Linked DNA regions of Schizosaccharomyces pombe. The protein of the gene in region 1 purifies or fractionates together with the protein of each later gene. This does not show direct contact. Each region holds a gene or a part of one and is shown on either strand. Other genes may lie near its edges. The genes, in order: wdr83, syf2 and cwf18.

The links.
Region 2: the proteins of wdr83 (region 1) and syf2 purify together in Schizosaccharomyces pombe (affinity purification with mass spectrometry, with the first as the bait; one study listed by BioGRID). This does not show direct contact.
Region 3: the proteins of wdr83 (region 1) and cwf18 purify together in Schizosaccharomyces pombe (affinity purification with mass spectrometry, with the first as the bait; one study listed by BioGRID). This does not show direct contact.

Annotation. Positions count from the first base shown.
Region 1 is NC_003423.3:874,607-878,087, reverse strand, and holds wdr83 (WD repeat-containing protein), read right to left. Parts: upstream 1,850-3,481; 5' UTR 1,739-1,849; coding exon 1,393-1,738; exon of another isoform or gene 1,348-1,392; coding exon 1,311-1,347; exon of another isoform or gene 1,268-1,310; coding exon 1,110-1,267; exon of another isoform or gene 1,070-1,109; coding exon 717-1,069; 3' UTR 620-716; downstream 1-619. Other genes in the region: adl1 (DNA ligase), read right to left, coding at 1-584; pwp2 (U3 snoRNP-associated protein Utp1), read left to right, coding at 2,166-3,481.
Region 2 is NC_003423.3:2,683,175-2,686,343, reverse strand, and holds syf2 (SYF2 family splicing factor syf2), read left to right. Parts: upstream 1-1,503; 5' UTR 1,504-1,593; coding exon 1,594-1,659; exon of another isoform or gene 1,660-1,708; coding exon 1,709-2,332; 3' UTR 2,333-2,508; downstream 2,509-3,169. Other genes in the region: Sm snRNP core protein Smf1, read right to left, coding at 299-338, 458-654; cfh4 (chitin synthase regulatory factor), read left to right, coding at 2,584-3,169.
Region 3 is NC_003421.2:2,404,132-2,407,480, reverse strand, and holds cwf18 (protein Cwf18), read left to right. Parts: upstream 1-1,680; 5' UTR 1,681-1,937; coding exon 1,938-2,366; 3' UTR 2,367-2,838; downstream 2,839-3,349. Other genes in the region: ribosome biogenesis protein nsa2, read right to left, coding at 135-726, 858-977, 1,038-1,108; AP-1 adaptor complex gamma subunit Apl4, read right to left, coding at 2,904-3,349. UniProt on the Schizosaccharomyces pombe protein: Involved in mRNA splicing where it associates with cdc5 and the other cwf proteins as part of the spliceosome.

The DNA.
Region 1 (3,481 bases):
GCATACAGAAGTGTGAGAAGGAAATTGGTTAATAATGTGACAATGCGTATCCTGGATTTGGTAGAACTAATTAAGGAAAAGGTGTTAGCAAGTGATGAGTAACTGAAGCTTTTTGTATCTTTTGAAACAAATCGGGCTCGACAACTTTTCACGTAAGTCAAAGGATCTTTCTGTAAAGCATCGTAATCAATTGTGGAATCTTTGTTCACGCTATCAGTTGAGAAAAAAGAAGCTTTGCATTCTTCGCTTGTAACTAAATTCTCCTTAGGTTTATCATTGCTTTCTTTTACAACATTAAATGTGTCAGTATGATACTCTTCTTCAGGTATAATTACATCTTTAGGAAGCTTTTCCGGAGCAGTAGCTTGGTTCTCAGAATCAAAAAGCTGTTGAAGCTTTAATGCATAAGCATAATCGCTGGCGCTTTGATCGTGATCGGTGAGCAATTTGTTTGGTGTATCTGTAAGCTGTGCTTCTCGTTTTGAAAACAAATCTTGAATTGTAATAATATTTCGGCTTTTCTCACCCTTTTTAGACGTAGATTTTAAAGAAGAGCCATTTTTCATGCGCTTTTTGGGAGGCATATTATAGACTACAAATATTGCATTATAGATGATATTAATTTAATTAAACTTAATAAAATCCTTTAGTAATTAAATTTCAGCATTCGCTTCCAGCTATTCAAACCACAATTGCAATTGGGGAAATTGAGGTGGTCAGTTGTACTGGTATATGAACAAATCACCATGAACAGTAGCTATGATAAAGTCATCCATAGTAGGATGACAAGATATATCAGTGACAATTGGAGTACCAACAACGGAAGTGGATGTTATTTGGGTTTCATTTTCTAAATCCCATAGATATACTTTACCATCCTCACTTCCGCTGAAAACAATTGTTTCACTTTGATTAAAGCTAGATCTAACTCGGTACTCCATGTTTTTCAGACCGATATAACTTTTCAAGATTTTACCCGTTTCTTGGTCAAGTAGATGAATAGATGAATTTAAAGAAGAGATCAAAGAAAATGATGCGCTTTTAGAAGTCTTGACTGATGTAATGGGATCTATTTAATTTGTTAATTTTTGAAACAAGTGATCACTTACGAGAAAAGTAATCTGAACTCAATGTTCCCTTTCGAATATCATATGTTCTTAAAGTGCCATCAGTTGATCCAGTAACTATAAGATGCTCAGCAATGTCGATAGAAGAAACACTGTCTTTCGCATCTGCTAAGACCTGAATAGGGCTAAAAGAATTAGAACTAAATAAGTTAGTAGAATAAAAACAGAATTAATAGCCCATACCGACAATCCCATAATCGAACTTTAGAATCGAACGAACCTGTAAACAATTAGATTTTGGATTATTCGTAACAATCACACTCACCGCTAGCTAAAATGGAGGAGTCCTCGTTATAACGAATTGTATTAATTTGAGCCAAATGGCCTCCAAGTCTTCTATCTACCTTTCCAGTATTCACGTCCCATACTTGAATGAATTTGTCACCGCCGCAGCTAGCAAATTTTGTACTGTCATAGACTAAATCCAAATCTAGTATTTCATGACCATGTCCAGCATATTCATGTATGCATGCGCCGCTCTTTACATTCCAAAGTCGCACAACCCTTTCGTTACCAGCAGCAAGGACGTACTTTCCAGTCCTGTTATATTTTACGACATTAATAGGTTCTTTTGCTTTAGAGCTCAGCTTAGTTTTAGCTTCCAATCGCATACTGTTTTTGCATTACAAAAGGATGCTAGGAACACGATCTTTTTCAGTTCTTCAACCTGTAATACAGAGCTTGTAAAATGTATGACCGTCAAATACTATGTTTAGACAAGTAAGGAAAACTCTACAAATCACCGCATAAAAATATTTTTTGATTGACGGTAATCTACTGAATTTCAAAATTTTTTTATTAAAATCCAATTAAAACTGTTTTATCGTAAACTGTAGACTCAAGACATGTATCCAAAAATTTTTTGTCGTGGCCCTCTCATTGAGTGTGACAAACTTCACAACTATCCAAATACCAAGATTCCGCAGTTTGCTGGAAAGGTCCTGAGAAATACTCTGAGGAAATCTCCTTTGCAAATTACTTGTTTTCTTTTTTTAATTAGGTTATAATCCGCATAAAACGTGCGGATTGAACTAGAAAATGAAAACTGAATTTGGGTTTTCGAACTTAGTAGGAACAATCTTTTCTAAAGGTAATCTAGTCTTTACTCCTGATGGATTTTCTATTTTAAGTCCTGTTGGAAATCGTGTAAGCGTATACAACCTAAAAGATAACACGTCTTATACGTTTCCTTTTGAAAATCATAAAAACATATCTCATATAGCTTTGTCACCTACATCTACACTTCTTTTGTCAGTGGATGAAGAAGGACGATGCATTCTATGCAATTTTTTGAGAAGAAGTGTGCTTCATTATTTTAATTTTAAGTCACCAGTTGGTGCAATTGAGTTTTCTCCTAATGGCAAATTTTTTGCGGTTTCCTTGGGAAAATTAATACAAGTTTGGCGTACGCCTAATTCTTTAGAGGAAAGGGAATTTGCTCCTTTTGTATTGCATCGTGAATATACTGGCCATTTTGACGACATCGTCTCAATTTCTTGGTCAGCCGACTCTCGCTTTTTTATATCTACTTCAAAGGATCTGACCGCTCGTTTACATTCTGTCGACCCTATCGAAGGTTTTCATCCCTGTGCTCTTACTGGTCATAAAAATACAGTAGTATCGGGGTTTTTTTCTAAAGACCAACAAACCATTTATACTGTGAGCAAAGATGGCGCCCTATTTGTTTGGAAATACTCGCCTCTATTCCAAGCAGGAGAGGTAATTGACGAAGAGGCAGAGGAAAATAAAACTCGGACGCATATTTGGTTGATTAAGGAACGACATTATTTCAACCAAAACTCAAAATTACGATGCGCAGCCTTTCATCCTACTAGCAATCTGTTGGTAGTGGGATTCTCTAGCGGGCTTTTTGGTATATATGAATTACCTTCGTTTACAATGTTATACCAATTGAGCATTACCCAATCTAATATCGATACTTTAACTGTAAATTCGACAGGAGATTGGATTGCTATTGGCTCTAGTAAACTTGGACAATTGCTTGTTTGGGAATGGCAGTCAGAATCATATGTTTTAAAACAGCAATCACATTATGATGCGTTGAGTACGTTGCAGTACTCTTCTGATGGTCAGCGAATAATTACTGGTGCTGACGATGGAAAAATAAAAGTTTGGGATATGAATTCTGGTTTTTGTATCGTTACATTTACTCAGCATACATCTGCAGTATCTGGCCTTTGTTTTTCTAAGCGAGGCAATGTACTCTTTAGTAGCTCTCTTGATGGTTCAGTTCGAGCTTGGGACCTCATACGTTATCGTAATTTCAGAACTTTTACGGCTCCATCCCGGGTTCAGTTTTCTTGCATTGCAGTTGATCCATCAGGCGAAATTGT
Region 2 (3,169 bases), 1.8 Mb from region 1:
ATCTCTTTGTAGCAAATTATTAGAAACTTCAATTCTAATTAGGTCACTCCATGAAAAGTATATATACGCATAATTCCAATCACTAACGAGTAATTTTTATGCAAGTACAATATCCAATAAATCTAAGAGGAATGTTTGCACTTTTGTATGGATCCAAATTTATAACCGAATACATACAACAAACGAGGGAGGATATGTTGAGAAGTCATGCGTATGCAACGTTGAAAAACAATCTCAGTTTTTTAATCAATTAAATACAAATTCTTAGCCTTCAGCCTTATATATCGACTTGTCATTATTAAACAGTACTCTCGCCAACCCAAAGGACATTATTGCACCTATTAAAATCACGTTAGTATAAGACAAAAACAAACTAACATGTGTTTCGAAATTGAATTATCATGTGCTATTTAATTCACGATAAAAATTTGAATTCTAACATTTAAAATTTACTAACCTGATCAAAATCTCACCTAAATCTCCTGTTTTTACACCATCGACTAACTCCTCTGCATTTAAAAGTTGCAAATTCATATAACTATCTACAGACTGCAAGGTTCCTTTATACTCTTGACCCCATTTAAGACGAACAAGGACAGGTTTCCCAATAAGACCTTGCAAAAAAGGTTTCGGGTTTACTGGAACAAAAGACATTTTCTTATGGAAATCCAAACCAAATACTTGTTAGGTTTAAGTTGATGTGCTTAGAGATGAAGATGTACGTTTCTCCTGCAAGAGGTGAATGTTCTGCATCTACTTGAGGATATAACGTATTACGGCAAAAGACGTTATCCCATCAATTCGTCAAATCCTGCGACTTGTTCTGTGTTAAAGTGTTTAGTTTTTTGAATGGCAAGAAATTTTCGAAACAAGGGCACTTCTTTGAGTAAAACTTCCCTTTTATAATGGAATGTTTAAACACGGGCACGGGCTCTAAGTCTGTTGATCGCATGTGTCATTGAACTTTCGAATAATTATTTATCTATTTTTAAAGGATAACGTGGATGATCTGATTTCACTGCAGAAATAAGGTAATATGTTCACAGCTAAAAACATATTGTCATTAAATTATTTTTCAATAATGAGATGTTAACTATGCTAGTTGGATTACTGATATCATTCGGCTTTATGTGATCTAAACCCCATATTTTAATGCAGAAAAGTTAGATATGTTTTAGCGGTGAAAGGAGCAAGCTCAAGGTTTTACTTTAAATTATAAAATCATAAAACAATAATCTATTCCAACTGGATTTAGGAAAAAAGATAAGAAAACTGAGAGCAAAGACACAACATGAATCATGATCAAAGGCCTTTTTTTCTTTATTAACATCCTGTAAAATCCGATGAGTTTATAGTTAGGTTTAAAACCGAGCACTTTTCCTTACCTTGTGACATTTGTTTTGTTTTGTTTACAATGAATAGAGCAGTATCCATAGTCAACGTAAATTCATATTGTGAGGTAATTATTTGTTCATACATAATTGTGTAGAGTAAATGCGTAGCACACTACAACAATTAAACTTGATTTCTGAATAGTTGTGGTTTTTTTAAAAATTAGAGGAAAAAACTAAGGGGCAAAGAATTTTAAACACAATGGACTCGCCTTCTCACTCACGTGAAGCACGAGTTGAAAAACTAAAAAAAATTCGTGAACAAATGGTATGTTCGTTAACTACTTAGCTATTTTGTACGGCTAACCAAAGTTTAGAGGAAATCTTCTCATGAAAATCGTAAAGAGGTAGTACAAGAGCATTCACGAATGCGCATTGATCCTGCTTTGGAGCGGCGACTCGAACGAAAACGAATGGAGGCAGAGGAAGAGCTTGCTAAAATCGAAACTGAGGAAGAAGGAGGAGACTTTGAAAGACGAAGAGCTTGGGATTGGACGATTGAAGAAAGCGAGAAGTGGGATCAGCGATTACGAAAGAAAAAGCAAACAATTCAGAATGTGGCATTCTCAGACTATCATTCTCAAGCTAGCAAAGATTACAACCGTGGCATAAGAGATCTGAAGCCGGATTATGAAAAGTATGACAAGGATAAAAAAGAAGAAAAAAGCAAGTCTCGATCCGTCGCTTTATATGACGAAGCAGAGCGTTTGGACTGGGTGTCAAATAAACCTGATAAGGAACACGTCGAACGTTTAGTGGAAAGTATTAAAAAACAAGACCAACGAAGGTTAAAAAATACCAAACGGCGTGGTACAGATGAGGAAGACCATATTACATTTATCAACGAACGTAACAGAAAGTTCAACCTCAAACTTCAGAGATTTTACTCAAAATACACGAAAGATATTAAGGAAGATCTGGAACGAGGTACGGCTCTTTAATCATCTTATGCTTTTTTTATTTGCTTTTACCAGCCTTTCTTGTTTTACCGAAACCCAACGCGCAACGTAAGAAAGTACTCTGGCGTGGCTGGCATATACTGGGTAGGTTGGTTTTACCGAAACCTGTTTATGTGGCTGGATAAAGGATGTCAAAGGTACCTGATGTACGAGAAGTATTTATATTCGAAGATTGCACATTTTCTGGGTAATGAGCAGTTTGAAGGTAAGGTAATAACGACTCTGTGACTTCCATGCCTGCATCCACGTCCATCCCCGAAACTCCTTCGAAGTTACCAGACGCATTGCTGGTTAATTCAGATCCTGCTTCTAAAGTTGATAATGTTTCTGTTAAAATTGAACAAGAAAGCCCTTTAGCTCTTGAAGGAAGTCCGTTACCTACAGTAAGCGATGTTCTTCCAGAGACTAATAATGCACATGAAGAGGTCTCTTCTAGCAGCTGGTCACTTTCGTCCTCTGATTCTATAATGAGCTATGATTCTTTGTCCGACGATGTTTCAGTTTTATCGTTTCTAGATTGTCCCCTTACAACTTTTGAGACTGCACCTTCCATAGCAAGCTTTTCGAACAGTGCAGCTGATGTTAGTTCACACTCTCGTTCTTCTAGCAGCTGGAGTGCAAAGCTCTCTCGGTTTACAAAGCATGCTTCTAAACCTTCACTCTCTTCAAACTCTTCTGATTCCTCATTTTCCAAATCTGGTTCGGAGTCAAACGCTCTTTCTTCTAGAGGAAGTTTTGAACTTGAACCTCATGGTATCCATAGACATGTTAGTCGAGCGAAGCGTTTACTTAGCAAATTTTATTCGAAATTTCACCATA
Region 3 (3,349 bases), on another chromosome or scaffold:
ACAATGATTGTTGATTTTACGACATATTCGACTTTCAAATACCTCAAGGTGGCATCAAGCCAAACAAAGAAGGAAAATATACATCCAAGCCCAAGAAAACTATAATACGCTAAATAAATTTTTCCTTAAATAAACTAAGTCAGTAAAAGTGCATTAACGCATCCATCTAACTCTGGGTTGTTGGTGATTTGAGCATATTTACCCCAAACAACTTTACCACCAGATGTGACAAGACCTAATTCACTGACATTAACCTCAATAACGGTTCCTTTTGTCAAAACACCGAGTTGGGTATAAGTCGGGCTTTGAGGATTTTTCTTAACCCCAATTATAGGAAGTTGCATAGTAACACCCAATTCTTTATGTGTAACATTGGCTTTCTTTTGACGGAGAGCCATTGGGCGAATAAAACGCTCATATTTAACAGGGCGGCGAGTAAATCCATCACCAACAAAGGTAGCTTTAGTAATCATACGCTTCCACGAATTCTTCTTGCTTTTGCCTGTACGAATAACCTTGAACATTTCTTCTTCAGCAACACCACGAACTTGAGGTAAAGGAACAGAATATTTAGCTGCCTTTTCTTTTCTCTTTTGCTTAACAGCAGAAGAAAGCATCTTAGCCTGCGATTCTTGTTCACGATCAAGCAAATAGGTTGGAACAGCACCTTGAGTTTGAGCATCGGATCCACGTTGAGTAGCATTTCGTTCTTCGTGTTGTTTGATACTGATAGAGTTAGTAACAGACTTTAAAAACTTTTTTAAATCAATGTACGACATGACGTTTAAACAATCAAATCAGACATCTCAACTTCACCACTTCACTGAAATTTTTATTAGCAATAACTCATGACATACGTTTTCTTCATTTGGATCTTCTCTTTGCGTCTCTTCTCCTGGTACAATTTCGCCTTTATACCACGAGTCTTCTGAGCATAAAGACTAGCATCGTGAGCTTCACGGGCAGCTTTTTTTCTCCTGAAATAGAAGTGTTAATAAAACTCTCAATTGACAATAAATCCAAAAAAATTTACTCACTTTCTTTCTTCATGATCGAAACGACGACCATGCTTGCGAATAGATTCCTCAATATACTCGTTTTGAGGCATTGATTGATATAGGCAAATAGCAAGTTAATTTTTTGCATGTGTGCTGCACCGGTATACGATGCGAACCAGACTTATTGAATGACAAGCTCTGCTGCCTTAAGTTTTACTATCGATTTTCAGCGACAACACGTTAAAAATAAAAAATTATCAACGATTACACTACGCCATAATGTACTACATTACGCCTCATTATATGTCATATGCTGACATATCTTTTAAGATTCGTTTATTGATAATTAGGGGTAAGTATCCTTCTACATGCATGGATTCCCGTGAATAGCAACTATTTAGAAACAAAAAAATAGAGCTTTAGCTGAACTGAGGAACGAAGTTTAGTTATAAGCTATATTAGTGATAGGTAACAATACAGCATATATGGTATAATACTATTGTACGTTACTGTTTATATTACCTGCATATTGCAATATAATATGTCACAAGGAAAACTCACTGCAGTTTTACGTATCCGTAAAACAGATACCAAACTGCGTAGATGACAACAACGAGCTTGGTTTGCATTTTCCTAACTTCTCAATATTCATATACATATTCTGCATTTATCAAAAATAACTAGAAAGTAAAACGATCTGGTAGTTCGTCGCTATTAGGTTAATATAAAATTACACACTCAATTTTTGTTTTTGTTTTTTGATACTGCTGATTAGGAACTGGAATTATTGTGCATTGTCAAACTCTAGTTAATTCTAGGAATTTTAACATCTCTCGATATTAATCTTATTACTTACTACAAAAAAAGTATCTTACTACATTCATTCTGGTTTTATAGTGTGGTTTTTCCGAATTTTGTGTTTTTGTATTGGAACAAAAAATGTCTTCATTAGATGAGGTAGCAGAGTCCAGAAAACAGAGATTAGCGGAATTGAGGAAAATAAAGCAGTTAGAGAATAAAACTCGCGATTCTCAAGAGGTTCAAAAAAATGTAATTGAGCATCGAAATTATGATCCAGAAGTGCAGGCACCTAAAATGGGATTCGTGGAACCGCCAAACATGATTGAATCAGTTGAAGCATTATCGAAGGAGATTGAAGAAAAGACTAAGAGAAAAATTGAAGAACAAAGTTCTGTTCCTGTTGAAGAACTAGATTTGGTAACTTTGCGACCTAAAAAGCCTACATGGGATTTAGAAAGAGATTTAAAAGAGCGAATGCGGTCTCTGGAAACACAAAATCAAAATGCAATAGCATTTTATATACAACAGTTAATTTCTGAACGTGCGCATAGTACTGAAAAAGCTTAAAGCAAGACTAATGCTTTCTAATGTTGGATTTACTCTCTGTTAGTTAATATATAATTCATAGGCTTAATTATTGCATTGATCAATTGTTAAAGGAAATAAGTTTAGGATTTTACATTTTATACTTTTCTAGTTGCGATTGTATTGGAGGTATGCACTTCTATTAAAATAATATTACAGCTTTAATTCTAAATCCGACCACTTCTTAATGAAGGGTTTGGAAGGTCAAATTTCCGTTCAATGATATACAATAAAGAATGAGCAAGTCTCAATTTGAAAATTACATAAGTGAACTTATCCAATAAGTATACCATGATTCCATATCGAGAAAATTGCTAAAATTATATAAAAAAAAACCTATTTTCTTTCATAAAAACAATTAGAGCTTTCATTTTCTATTACCTCATTATTCACTATTCTACGAACATTTTCTCGTAAAACTGACTAGACCCATCAAAAAGTGTAGCATGGATCATGTCAGAAATCTTCTTTGATAGCTCGAGCGTTATATTTTAAATGGCATTGTCCATACTTCGGATACTATTGTAAAAGGTCAGATGGCAACTTTCCAAAATCTACCTGATCGAGAGTATTTGATCCACCTTGTCGGACCACAGAGATACGTAGACGCAGTTTGACTTGAGAACCCGATGGCCCATGAACCCGCAGGGTTTGAGAAGTTTCTCCACCAGGCTCCATACTTGTAGTCCTCAAGGGCTGAATTTTCAGTTTCTGTGATTTGGGAACTGCCACTTCTAGATGTATTTTCTCAACCCTAGTCATTGGATTTTTATTTTTAAATTTAGCTTCAATGACGGCTGTTTTGGTACTTTCTTCTTTGGATGGCACCAAAGTTAACGTCACATCGTGTTTATCAAATACAACAATAGGAGGGTATGATTTGGAAGTTGATGGTATGGAAGAAAGCAAAGACAAGTTGTTTGATGGTTGGCTGGCTGAAGCATTAAAGTCCAAAGAAGCAAAGC